Linked DNA regions of Neurospora crassa OR74A. The protein of the gene in region 3 interacts with the protein of the main gene of each other region in a pairwise test. Links are inferred from orthologs where the notes say so. Each region holds a gene or a part of one and is shown on either strand. Other genes may lie near its edges. The genes, in order: stk-30, NCU01563 and prk-10.

Region 1 (5,289 bases), on a different chromosome or scaffold from region 3:
ATAACCCTTCTTGTTCCTAACCCAAATGTTGGTGGCATCCTGTGCCCCCAAGAAGCCGTCCTGTATTTGAGGATGTCTACTGGCGCGAAGGCTCCACTTCTAGCGTTTGGCCTTTTCATCTTTGGTGCCTGCAGGTGCTGATGGGGGTTCGAGAGTATGTACGTGATCGTCCGCATGTGCCACGTTGCCGGGGCCGATCTGCCGGCAGATGACGGTGTTCGCCACCCATGGATCGTCAAGAATTTCCGTCATCTTGGCTCGTGTCTTGGGATCCAGATCGAGCATCCTGCCGATGACGTGTCTGCTTTCCCTCGGGAGAAGCCTGAGGATTCTCCAAGGACCACGGATAACCTCCTTCTTCTCTCCAGTGCTGCCAGCTTCTCCTTGTACGCTGGTTGTCGGCTTGTGATCGGAAGTCGTCTTCTTGTCATCCTGAACCTTGTCGATCTTGTCGCTGCTAGCCCTGACGCTCTGAGGGTCGTAGTCTCTGTATGGAACATCGCTAAGCGCCGACGTGGAGGCTGAAGGTGGAAGCAACAGTTTCTTTGGGTCATGTCCGAACGAAGGTTCTGCAGCGAATAGCTTGAACGAGTTGTCGGTCAATCGAGGAACCTTCCACGGGAATCGCCGGAGTGTCATGCAGCAGTAGATGATGGCCAAGGACCAGATATCAACGGCTTCGGGATCGTACTTCTTTTCGTCGTACACTTCGGGGGCAAGATATGGGTCGGATCCAACAATGCCTTTGATCGGTTAGCAACCCTTCAACCAGCATCTTCTCAGCCAAGTGTTTACATACCTGAGGCATGTACAATACCAGTCTCAAACGGATACCGGAAAACATGAGCACTACCAAAATCGATAATCTTCATAATCCCATGCTCGCTAACCACAACGTTGTCAAGCTTCAGATCCCGATGCGCGAGGCCCATGCTGTGAAGGTATGTTACGCCACTCAAGATCTGAAGGAAGCAGCAGCTGACCTCTTCTCGAGACATCTTTCCTGTCATGACAATGGCGAACAGGTCATACGGAGCGTACTCCATCACCTCATACCACTTGCCCTTCTCCTGGACAATGTCTAGGGTTTCAATGATGTTGCCATGGTGCAAAGAAGATCCCATGCAATACTCGGCCGTAAGCTTCTTGACATATTCGCGCTCGGTTTCGTACGAGTGGCGAGGGCGGAACTCCTTAACGGCAAAGACCACACCGTCTTCGCTGCGCTTCATGAGTCTCACCGAACCTCCCGCTCCGGCACCCAACACCTTGCCAAGCTTCCCGTATTTAGAAGAGAGACCGTGATCGTCACCGAACGGAATCTGGGCGGACTTGCCTCCCGGTGTCTTGGGCGTAGACTTTACAGAAGCAGCGGGAGATGCCGGTCTCTTGTTCTTGTGGGGTCCCAGCTTGAAGAACCTCTTCAGGTCCGCCATTGAGCTATTTCTGCTGGGGATTGTGGCCTCGTCGTCGTTGTCATGGCGATCCTTCTTGGAGCGTTTGTCGCTTTTGGATACCAGACTCAAAGAGGACGAGTTCTTTTTCCTGGAGAAGATGAAGCGAGGCTCAATGCCTTTTTGTGCAGGTCGTTTGCTTGCCGAGTACGGATCGTTGGCATCGCCGGGAGGTGGTAGTTGGCGGGTGTAGAACTGTGACGCGGCCAACGCTCGGGAGGGACTGGATTCACGAGACGCAGGCTGAGATCTACTGGGGGAACTGCTGCCGCCGGATCCAACGGAAAACAACCCTCTGCGATGTTCACCAATAGTGATCTGGGGACGATCTCGGCCATCTATCGAAGTCGGCCTGGAAGAGCTCCGCAGCTGTTCGTCGGGTGTAGGCAGCTGGACATTGCGGAGAGAGGTAGGTGATGTCGGTTCGTGGGAAGAATCTTGAGGAGTGATGAGGTTGGCACTCCGCCTTTCTTGCGCCAGAGCGCTCTCGCGGCGAAGTTCTCGGTCGACGTTGTCGGTTCCAGCCGGCGTGAGAGGAGGTGTATGCATTTCGTGGCCCCTGACGTGCGGAGTAAGAAGCGGTGAGTTGCGACCTGCCGAGCTCCGTGTATGTTCGCGACTGGGAGCTCTTGAATCATCTTCGTGGGAAGGTGTCTGGAGATAGCAAAGTATTAGTCCTCGCCCAAGGGGTAAAGACGCAGACGCGAAGAATGGTGACTATGCATGCATGGATATATGGTGTGCAATCAGACAAGAGACATGGAAAAAGCCAGCAAAAGCCACCGAGCTGATCTTGGTTGCACAAGCCCCCCCCGGAAGCGACGGACCAAGGCAAAAGCAAAACTTGGGAGATGAACAAAGGAAGGAAGCAAGAAGCGTAGCCCCTCACGTGAAATTAGGATGGGCTTACCCTTGAAGCGGGAAGCGAGAATGCCTCGTACTGGAAAAGGCTTATCCTTCGCTCCTGCAGCGGACAGGCCTTCAACCTCTCGGCGATATCACGAAGCTGCTCGGGGGTGACCTCACCCGGTTCGCCGAGGGTGACGTCTGGTGCAATGGTTGGTGTCGATGTGGTGCCCTCTGGCGTGATCTCTTCGACAGTTGACTTGAAGCGGACAGCAGGCTCGGTTTTGGATGGTTCAGCGGGAGTGACTTTGACCGATTGCGGCTCGACAGCTGTTGGAGTAGACTACAAGTCAGCGAATTGCTTCAATCCAATGCTTGCTCGTTCTAGTCCCCGAGGATTGGCGTAGTAGGGATCAGAGATGAGGGGTTGCCGTTGATTTTTTATTCGTGTTTTTTTCTTTTCCAATTCTTCGTCGTTGTTTCCTTTCTCCTTACCTTGGAACTGTTCGTCCGGTTGACGCTGCTCTGACTCTTTCTCAGCGGTCGCCATCTTTTTTTTTTTTAGGTGTTTTGTTGTTTTTGTTGGGTGACTTTGATTTCTTGGTTCGAATTTGCGCCCGTCTCCGCAAACTAATAAAACTTGTAAAATCCTGGCAGGAATCCGAATAACGTCTGGTGTCTGGCCCGCCCTGGAAAACAGAGATAAAAAAGATGGGATAAAAGACCGTGTGATGCAAGATGCAAGGGCCAGACAGGTGACAGAGCGACAGAAGATGCAAGACAAGACCAGACCGGCAAGCAGACGCAGCGGCGGAATGGGCGGAAACTATGTCAAGTGGAAGCAAGGGAAAGGCAAATGGGACGGCGGCGAAAGAAGAGTCGGGGCCAAATAGATGACGGCGATCTCAACTGTCATGGAACTGCAAAGCCTGTAGACAAGGCTTGGACTGGTCACTACTAGTACACTATGTAGGAGGTGAATAATGGGGTTTCCACTTTCCACCGTGACTTCTGATTTGACTTTGCCTGGCCTTGACGATTCCTTGTCGATGCTGTGTGCCTAGGCTTCAGTTCTTGTTCACTTGGGACAGAAGCGGCCCGGGTTCGGCGAAGAAATGGAAGTGTGAAAGATGGCGCTCTGTTGCGTCGTGGTGGGGCCGAGCTATGTACATGACAGGTACTTACAGGAAACGTTGGCTGCAGGCGGCGGGAAACACGGGTACCCTTGATGGACCACCAGCCAGTGCACCCGCCTGGGAGGAGAGGACCTGAGTTGAATCTGAGAGCGGGCACGCCGGCACTGAGATCGGGCCAAGCCGGCTTTCCTAGAATGATTGAATTTCAGACGGATCCGCAGTCACAGACTCCCGTCCTCACAAGGTGAACGGTCTCGAAGCCAAACAGTTTGAACGTGGCGGCGGGCACCCTGTCTGGGCGTCAGTGTTCCCAAAACCGCAATAGGAGTCCCGTCTTGGATCTTGGTCTTTGTCATACACTACACAAGTACACATTGGAACCGGGAGCGGTCGGCAACCTGGGGTCAGGTCCCTGATCCTGTCCATCGATGTCCTCTTCCATCTTGTCCGACTTCCTTTTCCAGCTTTGAAAGATGCCGAGCGATTGCAGCGCCTCCCCCTCTAAAACGCCAATGACCAGCTGCATTGACGCAGTCGTAATTCCTGCCAGGACATCCATTCCATCACATCTCTGTTTCCGCCGCCCCGTGTTGTTCCTCAAACACTGGGCAGTTCACCCAATGACTCGAGTGAACACCTCAGCCGGTTGTGCCTTGCGTCCTTGGCTGTCATCCTCGTTGCCCTGCGTTTCAACTGAACAACAGAGAGTCAAGTATGAATCCCGCAGCAGCCCCGACCACCGTCAAAGCGGCCTTTTAGAGCGCCGCCGTGTCCGAAAGACCGAGGCACCGCAAAGGCATGGATGACAAGTCTAGGTGGTGTTGGTGGTCAGCTTTGTCTCCAGTGACTGTCCTGATGTCACCCAACCTTTTTTTTCGATGGACTGCCAACGGATATGGTAAACAGCTTTCTATGTCGATCTCTACCGCCGAAAACCAGGTCCTTATCGCTCGGTTCGGTGTAACCCATGTCGATACCCCGCCATGCTGCGGGAGGTAATTGCCCGAATGGTTCTAGAAGCCATTGAATGTAATTGCAATCGTTGCACACGTGTAGGATATTAAACAATCATCCATTTCATCTCGTTAGTATTGAAAGCATGAGATGAACACCATGGCGACATGATACCGGGGCTTCGCCTGAGTGGTAAGAAGTGGGCTGGTGGATAAGCACTTGGGCGAAGCGGATGTTTGTTTACAAAACCCCTTTTTATATATGTGTGTGATTTGTCTTGCAGTCAGCTTAGCCAAAAGCATTATAAACACATCTCACCTACATTCAGGTAAGCATAATACCCGTTGGGCGGTCTACCTTGGTGACCGCCAACCTTAAAACTTAATCCTACAGAGACAGATCCTCGTCATACGCCTGCGTGTTCCACAAACACAAGCTATGTGAGCCAAGGTTGACGAAGCTGGAGTACGTTGAGGCAATGCAAACGCAAACCGGCAAATGCCCATATATGCCATGCCTGCCATCAGCACCCTTTTGTGGAAGCCTTTCCCAAACGATCATACTCCGTGGACCAACCAACAGCTCCAGGCACCGCTGTGCATTTTGAGATTTTGCCATACAATAATGATACAAGCAAAGATACACAGAGCCACAAGCTATGGCTATAGTCCGCATCCAATATTGGTAACAATGCCGTGGTCTATCCACCTAAAAGAAACAACCGTAACGCCTTCGTGCCCCCAAGCCCGTATAATGTCTTTCAGCGTATAGCCTCTTTCAGGGGATAACGTTGATACCGATCGACCTGGCCTGGTAGATGACCGCCCTGCAGAGGCCCTCGAGGGGCAGGCCGGATAGACGGAGCTCGGACTGCTTGATCTTGGCAATCTCGTAGACAT
Region 2 (5,105 bases), on a different chromosome or scaffold from region 3:
CTCGTCTCTCGAGTCTCTCGAGTCTCAGCTTTCAAAGAAATTGTGTGACTTACCGCCATTCGTCGAAGCTGATGTAGCCATCGTGGTCCATGTCGACCTCGTCGAAGAAGCCCGACAGCCTCTTGTTGGATACGGTCAAGCCGGCCTTTTGGAAAGCGCTGCGCAGCTCGTTCTTATCGAGCCGGCCATCCTTGTCGCGATCGATGGAACGGAAGAGCAGCCACAGTTGGCGCTCGGCGGTCTCGACGAAGTTGCGGAACTCTTCGTATTGGATCTTGCCGTCGCCGCTGGTGTCCACGACCTTGATGATATCCTTGAGCATGTGGTCGGCATTTTGCATGGCTACAAGAAAGACGGGCGCTTTGGTGTCAGTAGAGATGGCAAGTCGTGAACATGCGCATGACGAATCGCATTGGCGTTGGCAGGCATTGGCTCACGGTGATCGATCCTTCTCAACCCCTTTTGCAGCCCCTTGAAGTCGAGCTCTCCGTGGCGCTGGGGATCCAGCTTCGTCCACAATTCCTCGACGCGCTTGTCCCGCTGGTTCTGCGATTCGTCCATGCCGGCTTGGAGCTCTGCGAGCACATGGGAAACCTTCATTCCCGCTGTCGGGTTCTCATCATCCAACGCGGCATGCGCAGATGGTCGGCGTTGGTGTTCGGATATTTGCGCACGGCGGGGGAGGGGTCGGCGCGGAGAGGGAGCCAGACGACGGGGAGACGGGGAGCGTTCAATGCAAGTTCGGAGCACGACAAGAATGAATGGTCGTCGATACGGTAAAGTTCAGGTAAGGTACGGCGCAGTGCAATGCAAGTGAATGTGCAGTGCAGTGTAAAGGTTAGGTTAGGTTAGAGGTATCTTTCAGTTCTTTCCGTTCCTATGGTATTATGTATGCGGTGCTATGTGCAGTGCTGGCTCGCAGCTGAGGCAAGGTGGTTCAGTAGTGTGGTACACACAAGACCTACCATAGGCTCGGAAGGCAGATAGTCACTGCAAGGTCGGGACCTCGAGTGGTCAGGAATGGCAGAAATGAGACCGCCCGTCTAAACTAGCGGATCTAGAACCGTTTGCTGTAAGCGATTGGGTATGACGTAGGACAGGGGCTAGAGCAATAGGTAGGTAACTTGGATTTGGAAAATAAGATGAAATAGAGATCAAAATACGTTACGAAGCGACTGTTTGTATGAGCGGGACCTTCAAGGGGAAAATTAAAGTTACTTTCATGAAAAGAGATTGAGCCAAGCCACTCACGAATGGGATGGGACGAGTGGGTGGTGTATCGCTGTCCATCTACCCGTCACCCTATCTCCACGGGTATCCATTCTCCTCAAATAGTGCCTTTTGCACATTGCACCTGGCACCCTCCACAATTTTCGACCACGAATCTCGGTCCCTTTTTGAGACTCGAGACTTTGTTGACATGTAGCAAACAATGAAAGGGAAATCGGGGGTGGTGCGGGTGGCCGAAGTGATGAACGTGATATTCACGAAAAAAGCGGATCTGTATCGGAAGTGGTTTCAGTGGCCCCGTCCGGTGTGAGCGTGACACGGATTGTTATCTTGGCTTTTGTGTTGGGTCGGGGTAACACAACCCCAACATCGACAGCATTGAATTGAAGCTCGAGATAACCCAGGTTACCTATCTTGACCCAACCACCCGAAACATATTCAAGTCAGGAGAGTAGAGGTATGTAACTCAGTCGAGTTGTACCTCCAACCGTCCGGCATCCGGCAGCATCTTGACTCCACCCATCTGCAATTCACTTCCTGCAAACAAGCAACAAAGCTCTGATCAGTATCGGAGCAGGGTCATTTCTTTCGCCGTCTCCCTGATTGGCCAGCCCTGCCATAACATGTGGGCCTCCTAGGCCCTTCTAAAGTTTAAACCTCGGGTCGAGCAACCTACCTAGGGTCGGGTATTTTATCGCCAGCCTTATCAGCTTATCTTGGGCCCCGGGGTGTCCATCCGATCGCAAGCCATCACGTAATGTTTCTTTCCCGTTCAACATCAACCAACATCAAGTCGGAGCAGTGAGCTGAAGGCTTTCCGAGGTCTTGGATAGCGGCGCGTCGCAACAGGGTTTGAGACCTCCTCCATTACATAGGATTCCAACTCCACCGATCGTCAAAACGCGCGACCCAGAACATCTCCTACAGGCCAAGCGGACGACCATGTCTGCAGCGCCTTGGGAAGGACACAGCTAGACACCCGACAGCAGTTCGAGGCACCGAGACACACACGGTTACCATGGCGGCCAACTACTGGGAATCTACTCAGCGCAAACACTGGCTGTTTACCAAAGATGAGCTTGCCGCTATGCGCGCAAAGCTAGAGGCTGAAGAACCCAACCTGGTGGCCTCGTTTCCTCTCCCGCAACTGCGCCATCTGAACATCTACTTCAACCAACGTTCGTCGTATCTCTCCACGTCCCCTACCCCGTCCACCCGTCCGTCTGTTCGATGAAGAGAGTCGCCAACATACTTCTGTTTTACTCTAGAAATCAACCGTCTCGGTAAGCGCATGGGGCTACGACAGCAAGCCTTGGCCACCGCCCAAGTCTACATCAAGCGCTTCTACACCAAAGTCGAGATCCGGCGCACCAATCCACACCACGTTCTCGTGACCGCCCTATATCTGGCCTGCAAGATGGAGGAATGTCCCCAGCATATTCGGCTTATGGCCAACGAGGCCCGCGGCTTTTGGCCTACAGACTTCCAATCCCAGACAGAAGTGGCAAGGATAGGAGAATGCGAGTTCTACCTTATCTCAGAAATGAGCTCACATCTCATTGTCCATTCACCCTACCGTACCCTTACCAGCTTACAAGGGGAGCTTGGGCTGGCACAAGAGGACGTCAACCTTGCCTGGTCCGTCATCAACGACCATTACATGACCGATCTGCCGCTGCTCCACCCACCACATGTGATAGCCTTGACAGCCATTCTCTTGGCTCTGGTGTTGCGTCAGGATCCCAGCGGTCGTCTCCCTGGAACAGCCGCGTCGGCTTCGGGACTGGTAGCCGCTTCGGCAGCGTTGGCTCAGGCACAGGCGCAAGCACAGGCACGCGCTGCCATGATGGCGGGGGGTGGCCAGACTGTGCCAGGTCTCACCCCCCAGTCTTCTTCTGGCTTGCAGGCCATGCTTCCACCCCAGTCACCAGCCGGAGAAGGTCCTGCCGAAGGGAACAAAAACCCACGTATGGCAAAGGTTCACCGATTTGCTGCATGGCTGTCTGACAGTAATATTGATATTGAGGCCATGGTGGACTGCACGCAGGAGTTGATCTCCTTCTATGAATGCCATGAGCAGTACAATGACAAGAACACTCGGGAGCAGATCAATAGGTTTGTCAAAGCTCGCGGGCTGGACAAGTAAAGTATTGGTTCTGAGATCATGGATCGAATATCTCTTATTTGATGAATGCCTGGTGAGTGGTTAGACAACGGCCATGCGACCAAACGGAAAACGCTTCTTATTATCAGACTTGGACTAGTATGGCCCCTAATCCCGTGTTGTATTTTTTTTCTTCTGTGGGGGCACTGTCAATTATTGGATCATGGGCTCTCAAGCTGATAGGCATACGCATCAGTTCAAGGGCAATAGTGACATTTTAATCATAAGCATACAAGTAATGTCGATCGAAGCTTTACGTTCAAACAAGCGGACGAACTAGTGTAATGGCCCAAAGAAGGATGTCCCTCACCATAGAAATGACTAAACAGACTCTTACCTCGCCCTGGCTTTTCCATCAAAAATCACCTCTCAACCGCAGCCGATTGCGTCAACGGCAGCCCCTTCTCCTTCGTTATGCTCTCCAATGTAGGCAAAGGCGCCCCCTCGCCATTAAGCCCCCAAGCCGTCGGGCCCTGGTCGAACGCCGTCGTCCTCCTCATATCTCTCCTATGCTTACCTACACCCTTAAACTCACCCGCGCGATGCAATACAGCTCTATTATCCCAAATCACCAAATCACCCGGCCGCTCCCACCTCACACTCGCCACAAAGCTCTTGTTAGCCACATGCTCATTCAAAAACTTGATTATCCCCTCCGACCCCGGCACCGTCTTCCCCTCCCCATCCTCCAACCGCCACAAATAAGCACCCACACATAAATTCATCCTCCCACTCTCCACATGCTCTTGCACAACCTTGTGTCTCGCTATAGGACCCTCCTCCGGGTTCACGTCTTTAAAGTACTCAGGCGCCCCCAGCTTCCGACTATGAGCAGCATTATACACCCCCGTCCAATCTTTTGTCAGCAACTCCCTCTTTTTCTCGGCAGCCAACTCCTCCCACGCAGTCCTACTATCCGCAAACTCCGTGTTTCCTTCTATTTCCCCCATTTCCCCAGGCTCCCGAGAAGGCAGTTCCACGGCTCTTAGCAACGAATAACTCGACCGCCGCGGGTTATATGCTAGGTCCGAGTGCCATGACGAGTTGGCGCGGAGTAGCATGGCTCGTGGAGATGAAGAAGGGTCTAGGATCGCGCGGCCGTCGTCGGACAGGTTGCTGGCGTCGAAGAGCTCGAGGTGGGGGTAGTAGCGGGGGACGCGGCCGGGTGGGAGGAAGCGGGAGATGTCGTCGAGTGGACCAGAGGCGAAGAGGCGGGAGAAGGAGACGTGCGTGCTGTCGGTTAGGGGCGTGGCGCGGAGGATGATGAAGCCGTACTAAAGTTGGGGGTAGTATCAGAAATTAGGGCTTTGTGGGGTTTTCCCAAGCAGAGAAGGGAGGGTAAGGGGGAAATGGGAAAGCGGAAATGGGGGTAGAGTGTACTAGCCTTGTGCACGGTATCTCTGAGCTCTTGAAGTTGTTCATCGCTGATGACGCCGTTGTCTCCCCACTGGATACCGAGGACCTCTGCTCCGAATGTTGGGTGGAGTTCTTTGACGGTGATGGTTTTGGGGTATTCGTCTTTTAGGATGGAGTTTGGGCTGGGAGTCGACATGGTCAAGTGATTTTTGAGTGTATTATAGTAAGTAGTATTTCTGTGTTTATGATCTGGGCGTCTTTCTCGTTGATGTTCACTGTTGTCCTGGCGTTCTTCCCATCAACCTTGTCTTGTTATAACTGTTTCCATGGCTCTGAGATGTGTGAGGCTAGAAGG
Region 3 (5,180 bases):
TCCTACGACCGAAAACCCGCTCAAGAAAAATACACCAAATTTGTAGCGGCAGCATGAGAGTTGAAATTGCCGTGCCCGCGATCGCGGCGCTCTGTTACAGGGCTTACTCCAAGAAGTCGTTGACACCCGGCGGCATCTTTGCTGCTCTCCTTACGGCCATCGCACACGCAGTTCACCCTTGGAATCTTCCCTTTGCTCTGCTCGTCGTGTTCTTCCTGGCGGGAACGCGGGTAACGCATGTAAGTCTGATGAAGCTCTACCCAGGGGCGGCACAAGTTAGGCGTGGACTTTGACAGCTAATATCGACATCTTTCCCCGGCTAGGTAAAGGAAAACGTCAAGGCCAAGCTCACAGTACACTCCAAGGGCACGTCCGGCGGCGAGGGCCCGAGAAATCACACCCAAGTGTTCGCCAACTCGCTCACGGCTTCCATCTTCTCTCTGCTCCACGCTTATCAGCTGCATGTGCGCAAGCAGACGCTGATCGCTAATCCCACCAGCACAGGGACCGGTAGCCTTTGCTTCTCCTGGGGCGGCGACTTGTTGGTGATTGGTATCATTGCCAATTATGCCTGTGTTGCGGCCGACACCTTTAGCTCCGAGCTGGGCATTCTGTCCAAGGGCGAGCCGCGCCTAATCACAAGCTGGAACTTGCGCAAGGTACCGCGTGGCACCAACGGCGGCGTTTCCCTCGTCGGTCTTGGCGCTGGCCTGTTGGGCAGCATGATCATCGTTACGGCGTCCATGCTTCTTCTGCCTCTTTGCACTGACGAGACGGCTACGAGACTTGGCGGTGCCGCGGGCTGGTCACTGGGACAGCGCCGCATGCTGATTCTCGGTCTCACGGTCTGGGGTTTTTTGGGCAGCGTTGTGGACAGCATTTTGGGCGGGCTCTTCCAGGCCAGTGTCAAGGATGTGCGTACGGGCAAGATTGTGGAGGGCGAGGGTGGCGTGAGGGTACTGGTTACCAACGCTACGAACCCCAACAACGTTGCCGGTCGGACTAAGGCTGAGATTAAGTCGTCTCTTCTGTCTGGCGAGGGGACGGATGCGGTGGAGGATGTCGGCGCCGCTGCCGGTAACAAGTACGATTCGCGCAACAAGCAGCGGAGGTCGAGCTTTGGAGACGAGAGGCCGTCGCGAGTGGTGGAGAACGGCTGGGACCTGCTTGATAACAATGATGTCAACTTCTTGATGGCATTCGGCATGAGCGTGGGAGCGATGGCCGTCGCATCATGGTATTGGGGAGTTCCTCTGCAGTCTGTGTTGTCGCCATGGTGGGCATAAGGCAGTCGCAGGTGGGTGGTGAATGACTTTCGCTAGAGATGTTGGCTAGCTAAACAATTCCATGGATGACATATGAGAGCTCAGTCGTCATTTTGATTACACATTCAGATCACGGCTTTGGGTGAAGCTTGGGCAGGTACCTTGCTCGCTATCCGGATGATGCTAACCAAAAGCCGGCGCGATTGACCATTGAGGTTCTCATTGTACCAAACATCCACAATTCAAGACCAGCGATCCGTACATGGGATCGAAGACCAGCCTGGCTTACAATTGAATCCTTTGGTATTCTATACACGAGAACGTTGTATACCTAGTCTTTGTAATTTCGACTTGCTACCATTTTGGGCCATAATGTGTGGTAGACACGTATAGGCGTACACAGGGCTTTTATCGGCCTTGTGACAATGGTCCTGTGACCGAGCCGGATGACCTCCCCTCGGCCAGCCAGGCGGTAGTAACGAAACATGAAGTAGGTACAGTAGCTGATGAATGATGGAACTTTCCGTCCGGCTCGGCAGCCCCGTTGTACCTAAGTTAAGGTGGCCGCTTTCCGGAGCGCTCTGACCCCGCGATGCTGCCGTTTGTCGTCCCTGCATCCTTCCAACTCCTCCACTAATTCCCCCATTCTTCACCCCAGATCCCCGCCCGACTCCTTCCACCCCGTTTTCCATTACACCATCTCTGGATTGTTGCCCCGCTGCAGTGTTCGCTTGTCCACTTCCTCCTATGGAACCTAACAGCTCCAACACCCACTTGATTGCCCGCTGCGCTGCCCGTCCACCGCGATTGCTGATTCTTGTCGGCTGACAACCGAACACCGACCGAATGCGCATCCGATACATGATGTTCTCCTGAACAAAGCAAGGCGGTACCTTACATCGACCGACGACGCTACAACACAGACAGCCCACCGAGCCTTGACTTGACGTCCCTAGCTTCATTAGCTCCAACCTCTTGGGTCTGTTCGCTCCCGCTCCCAGGATTCAATCGAGGGACCATCGCGGTTCCTCCATTGCCCATTCACCCTCTTCACCAGCCAGTCGGACGACATCTGGTCAGACGAAACGAACGACCTTCCATCCGCGATTCAGTGTCGTCCACTTGTGTTGCAAGCGACTCCGTCTGCCATGGCACAGGCCTACGATGACGAGGAGCTTTCCATCTCCTTGTCTCCTTCTCAGATCCGAAGTCGCAATAAGCGATCCGGCGATGGCGCATCAGGCTTCGGCCCCAGTACCGGCAACCTCCACGAATACGGTCAACACGGTCAGCAATTACACCCTAATATCAACGCCGTCATGGCCGACGCACCCCTCCGCGACAAGATGCGCACCGAGCAGCGCATCGGTGCCTATAACATTGTCAAGACGCTCGGCGAAGGCAGCTTCGGAAAGGTCAAGCTGGCTGTCCATCGCATGACCGGCCAGCAGGTCGCTCTCAAGATCATCGCCCGCAAGAAGCTCATCAGCCGCGACATGCAAGGTCGCGTAGAGCGCGAGATTGAGTATCTTCAATTGCTAAGGCATCCCCATATCATCAAGCTGTAAGGCACCCCTCGACGCCCATGCGCAGCAGACGTTGGCTCTGGTCCTTTACGTACACGTTGGCTAACCCGGCGCGCATACCAGGTACACCGTTATCAAAACACCAACCGAGATCATCATGGTGCTAGAGTATGCCGGCGGCGAATTGTTCGATTACATTGTTCAACATGGAAAGATGAAGGAGGACGAAGCCCGCCGCTTCTTTCAGCAGATGCTATGCGCCGTCGAATACTGTCATCGTCACAAGATCGTTCATCGCGACCTAAAGCCCGAAAACCTCTTGCTGGACGATAATCTCAATGTCAAAATTGCCGATTTTGGTCTTAGCAATATCATGACCGACGGTAATTTCCTCAAGACCAGCTGCGGCTCTCCCAATTACGCGGCTCCCGAGGTCATTGGCGGCAAGCTTTACGCAGGACCCGAAGTCGATGTCTGGAGTTGCGGTGTCATTCTTTACGTCCTACTCGTCGGGCGCCTCCCTTTCGACGACGAGCATATCCCCAGTCTTTTTGCCAAAATTGCGCGTGGAAGCTACATGGTGCCGACCTGGATGAGTCCCGGCGCGGCGTCACTAATCAAGAAGATGTTGGTTGTCAACCCTGTTCAACGTGCCACAATTGACGAAATCCGCCAGGACCCGTGGTTCCTCAAGGATCTGCCGGCTTACCTTCACCCTCCTGTTGAGGAGTTCCTCAATACTGGCGTGGACCCCAACAAGGCCATCAAGGTTAGCGACATTGCGCCAAATGCCCCTCCGCAGGAACAGGAGAAGTTGCATAATGAGGTCACGGAGAAGATCAGTAAAACCATGGGCTACGGCAAGAGAGATGTCGAAGAGGCCTTGGAGGCCGATGAACCCTCGGCCATCAAAGATGCCTACATGATCGTGCGTGAGAACAAGCTGATGCAGAGTAACCGTGAGTCTACGCTCCCTCCCAGCAAGTCTTTTGTCTTCTCATCATTGGAACCTATCGATCCCTTTGCGATGCTATACTCGTCCGTTTTGTCCTTCTTTCGCAGTTGATTTTGCCACGTCCCATCCTCCTTCGGCGTCCATTTTACACTTGCCTAGTGGTGAACATCGCTTGACGCAAAAAAAAAGCAAATCCTTGAGTTTGCGACCATCGTCCTTTTGGAGCAACACCAATGAGGAATACCAGGATACCCTACTAAAAACCGATGAAGAAATTCCAGGCCTCACGACAGAGGAGTCTGTCCCGAGTCCGCTCCATGACCCGAATATGTCATCAGCTCGCTCGATCGCATCCGTTAGCACAGCAACTTCACCGCGGCCATATGTCAGCAAGATCGGTATTTTGCCTAGCAGTCTTCCTACCTACCACAGGGTCTTTATGGAGCGAGAGAAGGCCAAGGCCGAAGGTCTTGAGCCCCCTGATGCCATCCCCACCATCGTTGAGCCGGCAAATCAGCCGCGCAGCCAAGCTGAACAAGAAGAGACTATCCGAAGACTCAAGCCACATTCGAGGAGTCAACTTCGCCTTGACGAGGCCAACAAGCGCCCACAAGGACTTACCCCCGTCCACCCGCCCAAGAAGAACAAGCCTGCTCGATGGCAATTTGGTATTCGATCCCGGAACGCTCCTTGGGAGGCGCTGGTGTGTATTTACAAGGCGCTAAACAAGCTTGGCGCTGGGTGGATTGTCGATGAAGACTACGAAAGAGCCCACCGGGACGATGACGACACTGATGACTATGATGGGCCTAGTATCGGGTCCCGCAAGAAGTCATCATCCAGCATGGATCCCACCAAGACATATAGACTTCCTGCGGACCCCTGGCATATCAAGATTCGGTGGACAACTGATAGTGAGTTTCCGGTCTGTCCGGCCCAAATGGCAAAGTTTGGCTAACATTGGCTGTCAGAGCTCAAAAAGCATTCGGTTGCCTCCGGCCTCAGCGAAGCAGGAGAGAACACGCATGTTAGCCGGGATGGCAGCGACAGCAAATACCAGGTTGTGGCCATGCGTATGGAGATTCAGATATACGAAATGGAGCACGGCGTCTATCTTGTCGATTTCAAGGTAGACGGGTACGAGACCCCCGATGGAAAGCTTCTAGAGGATAAGGAAGTCACGAGCCCCTTCCCCTTCCTTGATATGGCGGCCAAACTCATCATGCAGTTGGCAGACGCAGATTGAGGTGCCCCGACAATCAATTAATGGCTTGCGGTCGCTACGTTCATGCCTTTGGTTTTGTTTCACAGATTCCGTGCCTTCAGTTCTGGCTAATGCGTTGCTGATACCTTTGTACCCTTTGCATATACTTACCGCAGCCTACACTGTTGGACACCATCAACGAACATGACTAATGCTCCTTGACTTGCTGA

Evidence for each region.
Region 1: the proteins of prk-10 (region 3) and stk-30 interact in binary tests that used the Saccharomyces cerevisiae proteins (3 or more experiments, as listed by UniProt). The link is inferred for Neurospora crassa OR74A from reciprocal best matches to the Saccharomyces cerevisiae genes SNF1 and NPR1.
Region 2: the proteins of prk-10 (region 3) and NCU01563 interact in a two-hybrid assay, tested with the Saccharomyces cerevisiae proteins (2 studies listed by BioGRID, with this or other methods). The link is inferred for Neurospora crassa OR74A from reciprocal best matches to the Saccharomyces cerevisiae genes SNF1 and SSN8.

Annotation. Positions count from the first base shown.
Region 1 is NC_026504.1:3,735,285-3,740,573, reverse strand, and holds the start of stk-30 (protein kinase), read right to left. Parts: upstream 3,342-5,289; 5' UTR 2,851-3,341; coding exon 2,796-2,850; intron 2,631-2,795; coding exon 2,365-2,630; intron 2,109-2,364; coding exon 800-2,108; intron 744-799; coding exon 100-743; 3' UTR 1-99. Other genes in the region: NCU04336 (mitochondrial 54S ribosomal protein YmL19), read right to left, coding at 5,168-5,289. UniProt on the Saccharomyces cerevisiae protein: Nutrient-regulated protein kinase that promotes the activity of at least 6 distinct transport systems for nitrogenous nutrients under conditions of nitrogen catabolite derepression.
Region 2 is NC_026502.1:3,075,465-3,080,569, forward strand, and holds NCU01563 (RNA polymerase II holoenzyme cyclin-like subunit), read left to right. Parts: upstream 1-1,600; 5' UTR 1,601-1,687; intron 1,688-1,747; exon of another isoform or gene 1,748-1,807; 5' UTR 1,808-2,248; coding exon 2,249-2,408; intron 2,409-2,498; coding exon 2,499-3,376; 3' UTR 3,377-3,737; downstream 3,738-5,105. Other genes in the region: NCU01564 (calcium dependent mitochondrial carrier protein), read right to left, coding at 54-342, 438-600; NCU01562 (2,4-dichlorophenoxyacetate alpha-ketoglutarate dioxygenase), read right to left, coding at 3,757-4,668, 4,788-4,946. UniProt on the Saccharomyces cerevisiae protein: Component of the SRB8-11 complex. The SRB8-11 complex is a regulatory module of the Mediator complex which is itself involved in regulation of basal and activated RNA polymerase II-dependent transcription.
Region 3 is NC_026505.1:1,659,666-1,664,845, reverse strand, and holds the start of prk-10 (protein kinase SNF1), read left to right. Parts: upstream 1-1,933; 5' UTR 1,934-2,413; coding exon 2,414-2,829; intron 2,830-2,914; coding exon 2,915-3,750; intron 3,751-4,018; coding exon 4,019-4,660; intron 4,661-4,717; coding exon 4,718-4,992; 3' UTR 4,993-5,180. Other genes in the region: NCU11040 (DUF92 domain-containing protein), read left to right, coding at 54-239, 324-1,286. UniProt on the Saccharomyces cerevisiae protein: Serine/threonine protein kinase essential for release from glucose repression.